Linked DNA regions of Cricetulus griseus. The protein of the gene in region 2 interacts with the protein of the main gene of each other region in a pairwise test. Links are inferred from orthologs where the notes say so. Each region holds a gene or a part of one and is shown on either strand. Other genes may lie near its edges.

The links.
Region 1: the proteins of Tns2 (region 2) and Shfl interact in binary tests that used the Homo sapiens proteins (3 or more experiments, as listed by UniProt). The link is inferred for Cricetulus griseus from reciprocal best matches to the Homo sapiens genes TNS2 and SHFL.
Region 3: the proteins of Tns2 (region 2) and Crkl interact in a two-hybrid assay, tested with the Homo sapiens proteins (2 studies listed by BioGRID and IntAct). The link is inferred for Cricetulus griseus from reciprocal best matches to the Homo sapiens genes TNS2 and CRKL.

The regions. Positions count from the first base shown.
Region 1 is NC_048597.1:133,744,288-133,748,032, reverse strand, and holds the start of Shfl (shiftless antiviral inhibitor of ribosomal frameshifting protein), read right to left. Parts: upstream 2,529-3,745; coding exon 2,508-2,528; intron 2,122-2,507; coding exon 1,998-2,121; intron 1,861-1,997; coding exon 1,811-1,860; intron 404-1,810; coding exon 365-403; intron 240-364; coding exon 90-239; intron 1-89.
Region 2 is NC_048595.1:398,500,670-398,504,363, reverse strand, and holds the start of Tns2 (tensin-2), read right to left. Parts: upstream 2,831-3,694; 5' UTR 2,746-2,830; coding exon 2,671-2,745; intron 2,582-2,670; exon of another isoform or gene 2,487-2,581; intron 1,981-2,486; exon of another isoform or gene 902-1,980; coding exon of another isoform or gene 896-901; intron 812-895; exon of another isoform or gene 97-811; coding exon of another isoform or gene 25-96; intron 1-24. UniProt on the Homo sapiens protein: Tyrosine-protein phosphatase which regulates cell motility, proliferation and muscle-response to insulin. Phosphatase activity is mediated by binding to phosphatidylinositol-3,4,5-triphosphate (PtdIns(3,4,5)P3) via the SH2 domain.
Region 3 is NC_048597.1:71,868,074-71,871,818, forward strand, and holds the start of Crkl (crk-like protein), read right to left. Parts: upstream 2,623-3,745; 5' UTR 2,187-2,622; coding exon 1,876-2,186; intron 1-1,875. UniProt on the Homo sapiens protein: May mediate the transduction of intracellular signals.

The DNA.
Region 1 (3,745 bases), on a different chromosome or scaffold from region 2:
GCTGATGACCTTCAGTCATAAAAATAATTTCTGGACACAGACAACAGGAGTGGAGTACAGGAGGGAATCCAGTAAGTCTGGGGTACCACCTCCTTCCTCTGGGGCACACGGCGCCACCACACGTGGTCACAGGAGGAGCAGGCAAACTGTCGGTCCACGGCAGGGATGAGGTCGTCTTGGGCTCTTTGGAACATTCGAAGATTGGCTTTTGTCAGGGGCAACAGAGAGGTGGCCACTGCCTGAAACATGGATGAATGGGGACAAAACAGGGTCACCTCTGCCTGTGGAGCCCACAGCGACCATCCTTACTGCTATATACCTTGGACAGTTATCCATCCTGCCTCATCCCAGCCAAAAAACACACCTGGATATCTCGGTCTTGCTTCATGTCCTCGGGTGGGTCCTGAGGGGAGACACGGAAAAGGAGTACAGAGACTGGAAAGGCTCTATCTAGGAGTCCTATACCCATGTTGAATGGGGGAGAAGCCCCTGCATGGGGCTCCTGGACTTCAGACAGAGATGAAACATTATTGCCTGTGTTGACAGATAGAGCCAGTGCCTACAATGAATGAAGTCCCAAAGATCCTTAAGAAGCAAATACTTGGCTAGTCTCATTTCCCAGAATCTGAACCCACTCAGTGATCGTGGCCCATGGAACCCAGAGCCCTGGATGACCTTTCAATCTGCAGAGGCCACACATGTGACACCTGGCCACTGAAGCCACATAGCTTTTAAAGATTAAAAAGTTTAAAAATGTGTATGTCTGTGTACATGTACATATGTGTAGTGCCCATAGAGGCCAGAAGAGGGTGTCAGATACCCCTGGAACTGGAGTGGTTGTGAACTGTCCCATGTAGGTGCTGAGAATGGAATTAGGGTCCCCTGTGAGAGCAGCAAGTGCTCTCAACAGCTGAGGTATCTCTCAGCTCCTTGGCCACATGGCTTTAAAAGGCTCCAGTTTGGGGGCTTGCAACCGGTTGGCTGCTCTATTGCTCCCAGATGGGGATGGTGGGCAAGTCCCTCTCTTTGAGGGTTCTCACAGAAGGGCCTCTCAGAGCCCGAGCTTCATTGCAAATGGCTAGAATTTGAATCCCTGAAGTCAAATGCTGGTCCCCAGAACTTGGTGAAATGTCATGAGCCTGAGCTTTCTTGTGTAATAGGATTGCCTCCCGGAAGCAGAAGAAAGGGATATGAAATGAACCAAGGCCTGGAGGTTTGCCCCTCAGGCTCTCTCCATGAAGGCAACTTCCTTCTATTATTAATTTGTCATATTCCTTATAGACCTAAACCAAAGGAATATGATTTGTCAGATTCTTTTAGGTGCCCAGCATGGTGGTGCACGCCTTTGATTCCCAGTGCTTGGGAGGCAGAGGCAGGTGGATCTCTGTGAGTTCAAAGCCAGCTTGGCCTGTAAAGTGAGTTTCAGGACAGTCCAGGGCTACATAGTGAGACCCTGTCTCAAAAAAACAAAACAAAACAAAACTTTGGCAAGCCTTTCAAGCAAGTTCAGCACACAGGGTACAGCCACAGAAGTGATTCTATGAATTTATCCCTTCTCCTCCATTGGGACCTCTTTCCCCCCCAGGCCAGCCCAGCCTTTCTTCTAGTGAAAGGTAGAATTAGTTTCCTTGAGCCTTCCTCAACAGCCAGGACCTCCTTATCCGACTGTCCTGTCTCCTCCTCCATCTGAGGCAATCAGCACATAATGAGCGCCTACTGTTTGCAGGCTGCTTCGGACAAGGAAGGAACTTAGATAGCAAGATGGGCTCTCACAGTATCTCTCTTTGAGGAGAGAGGGAGTTCAGGTTACCTGAGCGTCCAAATCGTTGCTCAGCTCCTGTCCATCTTTCTGCTTGACACCTAGTGGGGAAATATGGGAAGGGCTCTTGAAGGGTGAGTAGGAGTTCCAGGTGGTGGAGAGCCTCCTGTCAAGGGGAGCCAGGGTCGCTACAGCGAGCGACAACCACACCCACGCAGTACCCCCTGGGCGGACTCACCATACACGATAGAGCGCCCTACTCCGGTGTGGTCGCTGCCAAACTTCCTCATAAGAGCCCCTGCCTTCTTGGGGGACACTTTTCCATGAAACTTCTCCCGGAGGCGCCTGACGCTCTTCTCCAACTGGGATGGAGGGGAGGTGAGCGCTGGTGTGGGGGACGACTGGGGAGCGGCGCCCGCCCCTCATTCTCCTGAACTTGACCCCGGCTTCTGGCCTCCGCACCCTCTCCCCTCCCCCTCCCTTTAAGCCATTTCCTGGAAAAATCCAAAGTTCTCCAGGCATTGGGGGATGGTGCAGACTGCGGCGGGTGCCAGCCTGCCGGGTGCGAATTTGCGGTCTGGCGTGCGTGCGTGTGAGCCGGGATGCAGGCCAGGTCACCCCCTTTCCTTCTAACCTCTGACCCTGCAGCCCCGCTACGGCCGGGACGGAGGGGGAGGCGGCCCAGGGGGTCGGGGTGTCCCCGGAGCCCTCCCCGCGCGGCCTGTCTCGGGTGGCGCGACTGTCCTACCTCCACGCCGTCCTGAGCCATGGTGGCCGGTGCGCACCTGGCCGCGCCCGGGTCCGGGCCCCGCAGGGCTGGGTGGCGTCGGCGCGGCTCCGCCTCCCTCGGTCCCCTCTTTCGGTTTCGTTTCTGCGCGAAGCTGGGGACCCCGCGGGGACCCCGCCCCGGCCGTGCGGCTGCGTGTCTGCTCGCGCGCCCCGCGGTGCTCCCGGGGCGGTGCTCCCGGCCTCAGCGCGCGCCTCCCCGCGTCCTGCGCAGCAGCGCGGCCGGGCCGGGGATGCAGCGCGCGGCCTCTGCAGTCGGTCACATGTCCCCACGCTGCGCGGGGTCCGCGTCTTCACGTCCCCCGTGGGGGCGGGGCCGCACCGCGCGCGGACGCGGGTCTCGGTGCTCCCACGCTGCTCCTCCTAGACCGCGGGCGAGCTTTGCTCTACTCAGAGGCTCCTACCCGCAGCATCTTTTCCCCCTAGCTCCCTCCAGCCAGTCTCAGTTTCCTCCTCTGTAAAATGGGCACGCAAGCCAGGCTTGGCGACACACACTGGTCACCTCAGCATTTGGAAAGTGGGGGCAGGAGAAGCAAGAGTTCAAGGCTGTCCTGGGCTACATGGACCCTGTTTCAAAAAGAAAGGAAAAAAAAAAAAAAGAAAAGAGGAAAATATCCCAGGACAAAATGAGAGAACTTTTTTTGGGGCAACTTTCATGAACTTCTTGAGCGGTGAATGGGCCCTAGATTTAAGAGGCCTGCCTGCCTGGGTTTTCCTTGCTGCGACCCTCTTTCTTGCCCTTTTTGGTACAGGGGTTGGGTTTCTCACTTTGACCCAGGAGCACTCAAAGCTTGGTTTCCTTCACTAATCAGGGTGGATAGCACAAGTGCAGATAATGGTGGTATAATGGTGAACCGGAAACCAACACCAGAGGGAAGTGGAAACTATCTTCCCACCCCCCCTCCTCTTTCCAGGGCCCTGTAGTTTCAAGGCGGCTCCCTTAATCCAGGCTCCCCTGGACTTTGTATGTCACTGTCTCCCCCTGCCTCTACATTCTGAATTCTGGGGTCACAGATGTGTACCTAGGGTCTCACAGCATAGCCCAGGCTGGCCTTGAATGTGGTTTGGTGGCCCTTCAGCCTCAGTCTCCCCAGTACTGAGATTACAGATGTGAGCCTCCATGTTTGGTCTTCCAGGGGGACTTAATGGCACTCAGCACAATGTGGGACATAGATAATGCACCAATCATCGGGTGACCTT
Region 2 (3,694 bases):
TGCCCAGCTGGTGGGCACTCCTACCCTGCTGGTGGCCCGGCTGCTGTCCCTCCCCAGGGCTCTGAGCAACCTTTCCATAGGGCCGCTGGACTTCATGGTGTCTGGCTGGCTGGGTCTTGGCTGCAGGGCCTGAACAATGCTGGGGCCTGGCCTGGGGCTTCCTGGAAGCAGCCTGGCCGAGGCAGCCGCTTCCCTTGGGTGGAGGGGAGGCTGTCTGGCTGGTGTGTGGAGAAGCCTGGCCCTGGAAGTGAAGGGAAGTGCAGGCGGGAAGGGGGCAGGTCGCTGCTCCAGGAAGTGGGGTGGGGGAGGATGTGGGGGAGGCCAGGAGATCAGATTCCCAGGATCTACCCCTGCTGGGAGTGTCAGCCCAAGATCTTTGGCTCTCCCCTTCTCCTCTGGAGCTGCCTCTCACCCGGTGGGCCACCCTGTGTAGGGGTCTGTGGTCTTGAGATCCAGCCCTGGAATCAGTCAGTGGGGCAGGGTGGGAATTCAGGTCTCAGGGCTGGGCTTGAGGGCCAGAGAAGAACACTGTGTCCCCAGCCAGTCTCTAGCCTGGACTCTTAAGTTCCCTTGGGACTTCCTGTGGGAAGGGAGTGGAGCTGGGAACCAGTACCCCTGGCAGGCTAGGACTCAGACTACTTAGGGTGAAAGAAGTAGGAATGAGGGCCAGCTTCCTTGTCAGATGGGGAAGATCATGCAGTACCCTCCTCAAGGCCAAGCACCAGCCAGAAGCCCAGCTGCCCACAGTAGTGAGTGGTCCAGAGCAACCCAGGGCCCTGGAAAGGTTCCACCTGAAGACCCCAGCTACTGTGCTCCAGATAAAACCCACAGTTCCTGGCTTAGTCCCCCTGTATCTGGGACCCCACCCACCCACCCATTCAAACCTGAGCACTACCTTCATGGCTCTTCTGGGCCTGGCTCTTCTTCATCTGTGGCTGTCACTGGACCTGAGGACTGGACAGGAGGCCCCCTCCCAACACATTCTCCACCCCCTCTAGGGCCTCCTGCTTCCCTCCTGGGAATAGGGCCAACTTCCTGTCCCAGGAGTCAAGGAAGGAGGTGGATAGGGCCTTGGAAACGATAGAACAATCTTCCTAAAACAAGGGTCAATGGCCTGGGGGTTCTCGGCTCAAGCCCTGGACAGCAGCCTTTGGAATGCTGTAGCTGTCACTTGAAAGAATGTACAATCTTGTCGTCCTCATTTGCATGGTATTTACTGAATGTCCCAGTGCAACTCCTCCGGTTCTGGCTACATTCACAGGGTTCCACAGGAGTTCCCTCCTCTGCCTCCTGTTCATCCAGGTGAAGGGCTGCTCTACTCCTCCCTGGTTCACCTTAGAAAGACCATCAGACTGGGAAGCCTGAGCCTTCTTCCTGCATGCTCCAATTCTCTAGGAAGCCTGTCACCTGTGTACCCTGGCTAGAGGGTGGCACCTGAGTGGCAAGGTGTGGCCCCCCATACTGTAACTGGAGAGGGCCACTGGCTCTGTAATCCCTACCCAAGTCCTGGCTGTGTCCCAGGACATTCCAGGCCAATGGCCAGGTGGGCAACTGGGCCTGGCCTGATTCAGCACCCAGCCCTGCTGGGGGAGATGGGTCACTGTAGGGCCTGTGTGAGTGTGGCTCCCCCCATCCAGTGTTTTCCCTCTGCATCTATGGCACATAGCCTTACTTCTGCTGTCTCCTTGTGGGACTGAAAGTCCCCTCCTCTGTGAAAAGTCCCCAGACATCCTCTGGCCACATTGAACTTTCACTGCCTGCCCGCACAGACCTAGAAAAGTGTCCATTCAAATGACTGCAATTGGCTGGTCAAGAGCTATGAGTGTCCCCACCACGGGGAGTGAAGTACTTCTGGAAGGATCCTGAAGGCTGGCTGAGGTGGCGTTACCAGATCCCGTAGATCTTCGCTTCCCACCTCCTGCCTGGAATATTCCAGAGCTTTTTTTTTTCTTCCCCCCAGCAGGGCCCCCTCTTACTCTGAAGCCTTGGGTTTGTTTGGAGAAACCCCTCCACCCACCCACACACCCCTCCTTCCTGGAAATAGCTGTGGTTGGATGAGAAGCTGGGAGCCGGGCCACAGAGGAGTGAGGCCCAGGAAAGAAGGGAGGGGAAGAGAGGTAGGATTCTGGGATGTATCCAGAGAGACCTAGGGGGTGTCTAGGCAGGGCAGAAGTAGACTAGGGCTGTTAGGAGGGATCAGCTTCATCTGTGCCTGCATTGTGCCTCAGTGTCCCAGATAGGGAACATGAGAAGAAAACGCTTGCATACTCTCTGCCAGGCCAGGGCCGAAACACTGCGGCCAGCTACCGCGGGCATCTTGTGCTCAAAAAGTGTGTTTGTCGTTTGAGCTGGGGATGCACGCAGGGAGCAGCCGACCCTCCAGTAGTGCGCAGTAGGACGCGGAAGGCGGGGCGGCCTGAGCTAGGACCACAGCCGTGCCCCGCCCCCTGGTCACCTCTAGGATCTCAAACTGCCCCCTAGCTCACCGCGACCGACCGGGAGGGCGCTGGCGGCAGGCAGTCCCAGCCTCCGGGATCCCGCCGCGCTCGGTGTTCCGGGACCCCGGTGGCTCCGCGCCCCCTGGCGCCCGCCCCTGGCTCGCACCTCGCGCTGTGACGCAGAGGGCCGCCGCCCGCGCTCCCGCTCGCTTGGCGTGGCGGGGCCACTCACCTGTGGGGGGCGCCCGGAGGGCTGGGGGCGCGGCGGACCGGGGCAGCAGCAGGGGGCGCCCCCGGGCCAGCCCATCCCGGCCAGGCCAGCCGCACCGCGACACGCGGAGACAGCGGCAGCTGCGGGACGGGCATTCAGCTGGCTCCCTCCCTCTGCGCCCCGCCACCTCCTCCCGCCCTCCGGCTCCCTCCTTCTTCCCCGGGCTCCAATCGCCACCTTCCACCCGCTCCCCGCCCGCGCCGCCTCCTTTTTCCCTCCTCTCCTCCCACTGTCCTTCCCGCGAACGGCTCGGCGCGCAGAGGCAGGCTCGAAGGCCGAGCTGGCAGCCTGAGCCGGGGAGGGACCGCACGTGGGAAGGCAGCCCCAGGGAGCCTCAGACCGAGAGGCTGCGGAGGGACACGGGCGGAGAGAAACGCGTGAGCCGCACAGACTCCTCAAAAGAAGGTGGACACAGATCCAGAAGGGTACACAGAACAGCTGCGAGGCCTTGGCATCTCGGCGGCCACTTTAGTGCGGGATCTATTCTGAACCATGCCTGACCTGGTGGGGGCGCCAGATGTACTGGTGTCCCGGGTCTTAGGACACCACTTCCTGGTGTTCTCCCCCACTGGAACTTTTCTGTGTCTCTTCTCCCAGAAGACTCACAGCTGAGGACCCACACAAGGTTCAAAGCTCCCACCCCTCAACGGCTTTAGTAATCGCCCCTGTGTTCCTGGGGCTTACCAATGCAAGTTCTTTTGGTGGTGTCATCGCATTCCTTTTTTTTTTTTACTTTTTGTTTTATTTATTATGTATTTTATTTATTATTTTTTGTCTGCATATATCCCTGCACACCAGAAGAGGGCACCAAGTCTCATAACGGATGGTTGTGAGCCACCATGTGGATGCTGGGAATTGGACTCAGGACCTCCGGAACAGCAGCCAGCGCTCTTAACCTCTGAGCCATCTCTCCAGCCCCTCATTCCTTTTTAAAAGTCTGATATTGGAAAAGAACGCCTGAAATTAAACTGATGGGCCATGGTGC
Region 3 (3,745 bases), on a different chromosome or scaffold from region 2:
CACTCCAGCACACTTTTCCTCCTTGAGGGGAATCTAATAATTAACTTAGACTTTCTCCAACACCTGTTACATTGTTGCAAGCATGTTCTAATAAAGGCCTGAGGTCAATAATATAATCCACTTTCACAAAGGAGAGAAGAAATTTACTCAAATATATTACCAAACATTATTATTATTTTTTGTTTGTTTTGTTTTTTATTTTTCGAGACAGGGTTTCTCTGTTGCTTTGGAGGATGTCCTGGAACTAGCTCTTGTAGACCAGGAGTGCTAGGATTAAAGGCATGCGCCACCACCGCCTGGCTTTACCAAACATTATACTTCCTAAGTTTGTCCAAGCTATCCAAAATTATTAAAGTTGACAGCACCTGCCACCAGCTACTAGGACCCTCATGTTTCAGAATTCTCAGTGTCCTCATCTCCATAACATAGATTACTATTTACAGTCACTTTCTCTGTGTTTTACTTTTTTTTTTTTTAAATTATTGATGTGTGTGTGGATACTCACTTGCCATGGGACACACACTGAGGCTAAAGAAAGGACTCTCCTTCCACATTTATGTGGGTTTGGGGGAATCAAACTGAGGTCATCAAGCTTTTGTTGCAAACAACTTTCATTCACTAAGTCATCAAGCCTAGCCCCTTCACTACAGTTTTTTAAACTCCATTGATTTTGCCAGTTAACTTTACACTCCTTGTACCATCACAGCTTTACTTCTTCTATCCTAAAAAAGAAACCCTTTTACTTTTAGTAGGTATCCTTAATTAAGTATAGTACCTTTTCATCTTCAAAGTTCAGAGCAAATTACCTCATTAGCAATTCTATGAAGTCAGCTCACCCTGAGAAGTCTAACTCAATCCCCAGACCTTTTTAGAAAATGGCTTAGAAATATACCAGGCAGTGAAATACTTTTTGAAGTCTACTTTCTTGTTGTTGCTATAGCGCAATTAAGCTTGGAACTCAAGGTCCTCTTTTCCTTAGGCGGTTAGGGGTGTGCATCTCTCTCACGCAGCTCTACTTCAGTTTCTTTAAAGTATATGTTAAACCACTAAATTTAATTCCCACCCCCCAAAAATCTAAAACTGAATTAATGTAGAATTAAGATAAATATACTTCCCACCAGGGAGAGATGGTACAAATTTCCTCAAATATAATCTCAGTCTTTTTCCTTTGAAATTCTAGTTTTTTTTTTTTTAAAGGGGGGGGCTACTTCAAATTGCGCATCAGATTCTGAAATTCCTACGATTTCGGTTCATTTTAACGATTTTCCAAAGGCTGCAAGCCAGTTCTTAACCTGCAGTTAGCTGTTGAGATGCAGGGGGTTCTAAAACCTTAAATGGTGTGTAAACTACAAGAATTTTCGAGGAGAGAGCCATGGCTAGCTTCAGAATCTCAAGGACGTCTATATACTTTTTAATGTTAAAAGAATTCTGCAGCCAGACGGTGGTGGCGCACACATTTAGACTCAGCATTCGGGAGGCAGTTCGAGGCCAGCCTGGTCTACAGAATGAGTTCCAAGGCAGCCAAGATTATTTCACAGTGAAACCATGTCTCGAAAAACCAAACAAGTAAAATAAATAATAATAACAATAATAATTATGCATTAGTATTAGTCAGCTAAAGTGACAAAACTGTGTATGTGTGTCGGTGGGTGCATTTGAACAATACAATCACCACTAAATGTCTAAATAAAAATGCATCCTTTCATCCAGTGACCCAGATCCTGACACTGGCCTTCCAATCCGATGTCTTCCTTCTGGTTTAGAATGAGGGAAAGCAATTCAACTCCTCCCTCCACCCCCAAAATTAAATCTCTGACCGACCCTCCGCATCGGGTCTGGTTCCCAGCCCGAGCAGGGCAGCAGGAGCTCGCGTACCTGGGCGCTGGTTCGATTAAGGTGGTCGTATCCAGGTAGTGGATCTTGTAGAACTCCAGCAAGGCCGGCAAATGATCAAACTCCTGGTCCCCGATCTTAAAGCGGCGGTTGGGCAGGGAGTTGATGATGTAGTGCGAGACACGCGAGTTCTCGGACACGGACAGTACATAGTCCCCGGGGCAGGTAGAGGAGTCCCGGACTAGGAACATGCCATGGCGCTGGCCCTGGAGACGGGTCTGAGCCTCCTGGCGAGACACTGGCCCCATGTACCAGGCAGAGCGGTCTGCAGAATCAAACCTGGCGGACGACATGGTGTTGGGTCCGGGGATGGGCGGCGTCTGCTGCTCTCGCCTGCTCGTGAAGCCTTTACCCGCTGTCGGCTTTGGGGCCGAGGAAGGGCCTCTCGGAAGACCTCGAGGAGCAATCAGAGGGCTGGGTCAGGACCTTCCTCTCGGCTCCGGGCCCCGCAGCATCCTCCGCCACCGCCCGCCTGCACCGGGCCGCCTCACGGGAAGAGCAAGCCCGGGAACACTGGGCAAAGCCCTGGGGTCGAGGTGGGCGAAGCCGAGCGGTAGCAGAGGCCGCCTCGGGCTTCTCAGCTGCCCGGCGCCCAGGAATGGCTCCAGCGACTTCTGTCCTGGAACCCGCCGGCTCCGCAGCGTCAAGAGCCCGCACCGACCCTCGCCGTCACACGAAGCAGCCTTCTCCAGCAAGAGTCGCGCCTCCCAGGCCGTTTCACCCAGCCCGTTCCCAATAGCCACAGCAACAAAATGGCGGACGCGGGAGAAGCGGCCGGGCACCTCCCCCTTGGTCCAGCTCACTCTCTCTGCGCACGCGCGGAGCCGGGCGCTACCCCCGCCACGGGGCCCGCCCTTTGACGTCTCTCGGCGCAGCCAATCAGGAGTGCGTTCGCGAGGGTCCCCTCCGTGAGCCACTCGTGCTGGCTCCCGCGTTCCGGGAGGAGGCTGAGGAGGCCGTGGGTCAGGCCCTTCCTGGGCCACAGAGCCGCAGTCAGGCAACTGCTGCTGCTGCTGCCGCCGCCGCCGCCCCCGGGAGTTCCGCACTTGGCGAGAAAACAGCCGGAGCCGAGAGGGAACAGCGTTATGAAAACCTGTTTCTGGGAACAAAGCGTAACGTGCTGGCTTGTCTGGCCAGGGAGGCGTGGCCCTCAGGTGACTGCGAGCCACAGGGCCCTGATAAATCAGGTGGCTTAGGAAAGGCATGACCCAGGGTGAGGTGACCATCAAATGGGTTACTGAATAACTCCTGCCCTAGGTGATCCGACTTGGCACACGTGGAACTAATGCTTTAGGAGGGCCACAGTCTGGTGACAACCAGGCCACTACAGGCTCTGAAATGCAACACCTCTGTGTCTGACTTGAATGTCTTGCCTGCTGTAGGTCGTTGTTCTACAACAGTTCCAGTTTGCTTCCTGCCATTCCACGTTGCTCAACTCCAGCCGTGCCCTCCCAACATATTTCTTCCACCCCCACTAGGATCAATCTTTTTTATTTTAGGGTGAGATACTCAAGACAGAGTTTCTCTGTGTAGCCCTGGCTGTCCTGGAACTCACTCCCAAGACCAGGCTGACCGGGAACTCTTCCTGCCTCTGCCTCTTGAGTGCTGGGATTACAGGTACACACCTGCCCACCACTGCCTGGCTATGATCAAATTTTAATAAAACACCTTTGTTTTGCCTACCTTAATACCATGTCTGGTCTTGAATGAATGATCAGACACTTGTTAAATGAATGACTATTGTGAAAAATCACCAAGACACTGATGGCAGGTTATTGATCATAGCATTTCCAAATTGGATGAACAGAAAGGTATAATCCCATGCCAGGGGTGATGGCACACACCACTAAGC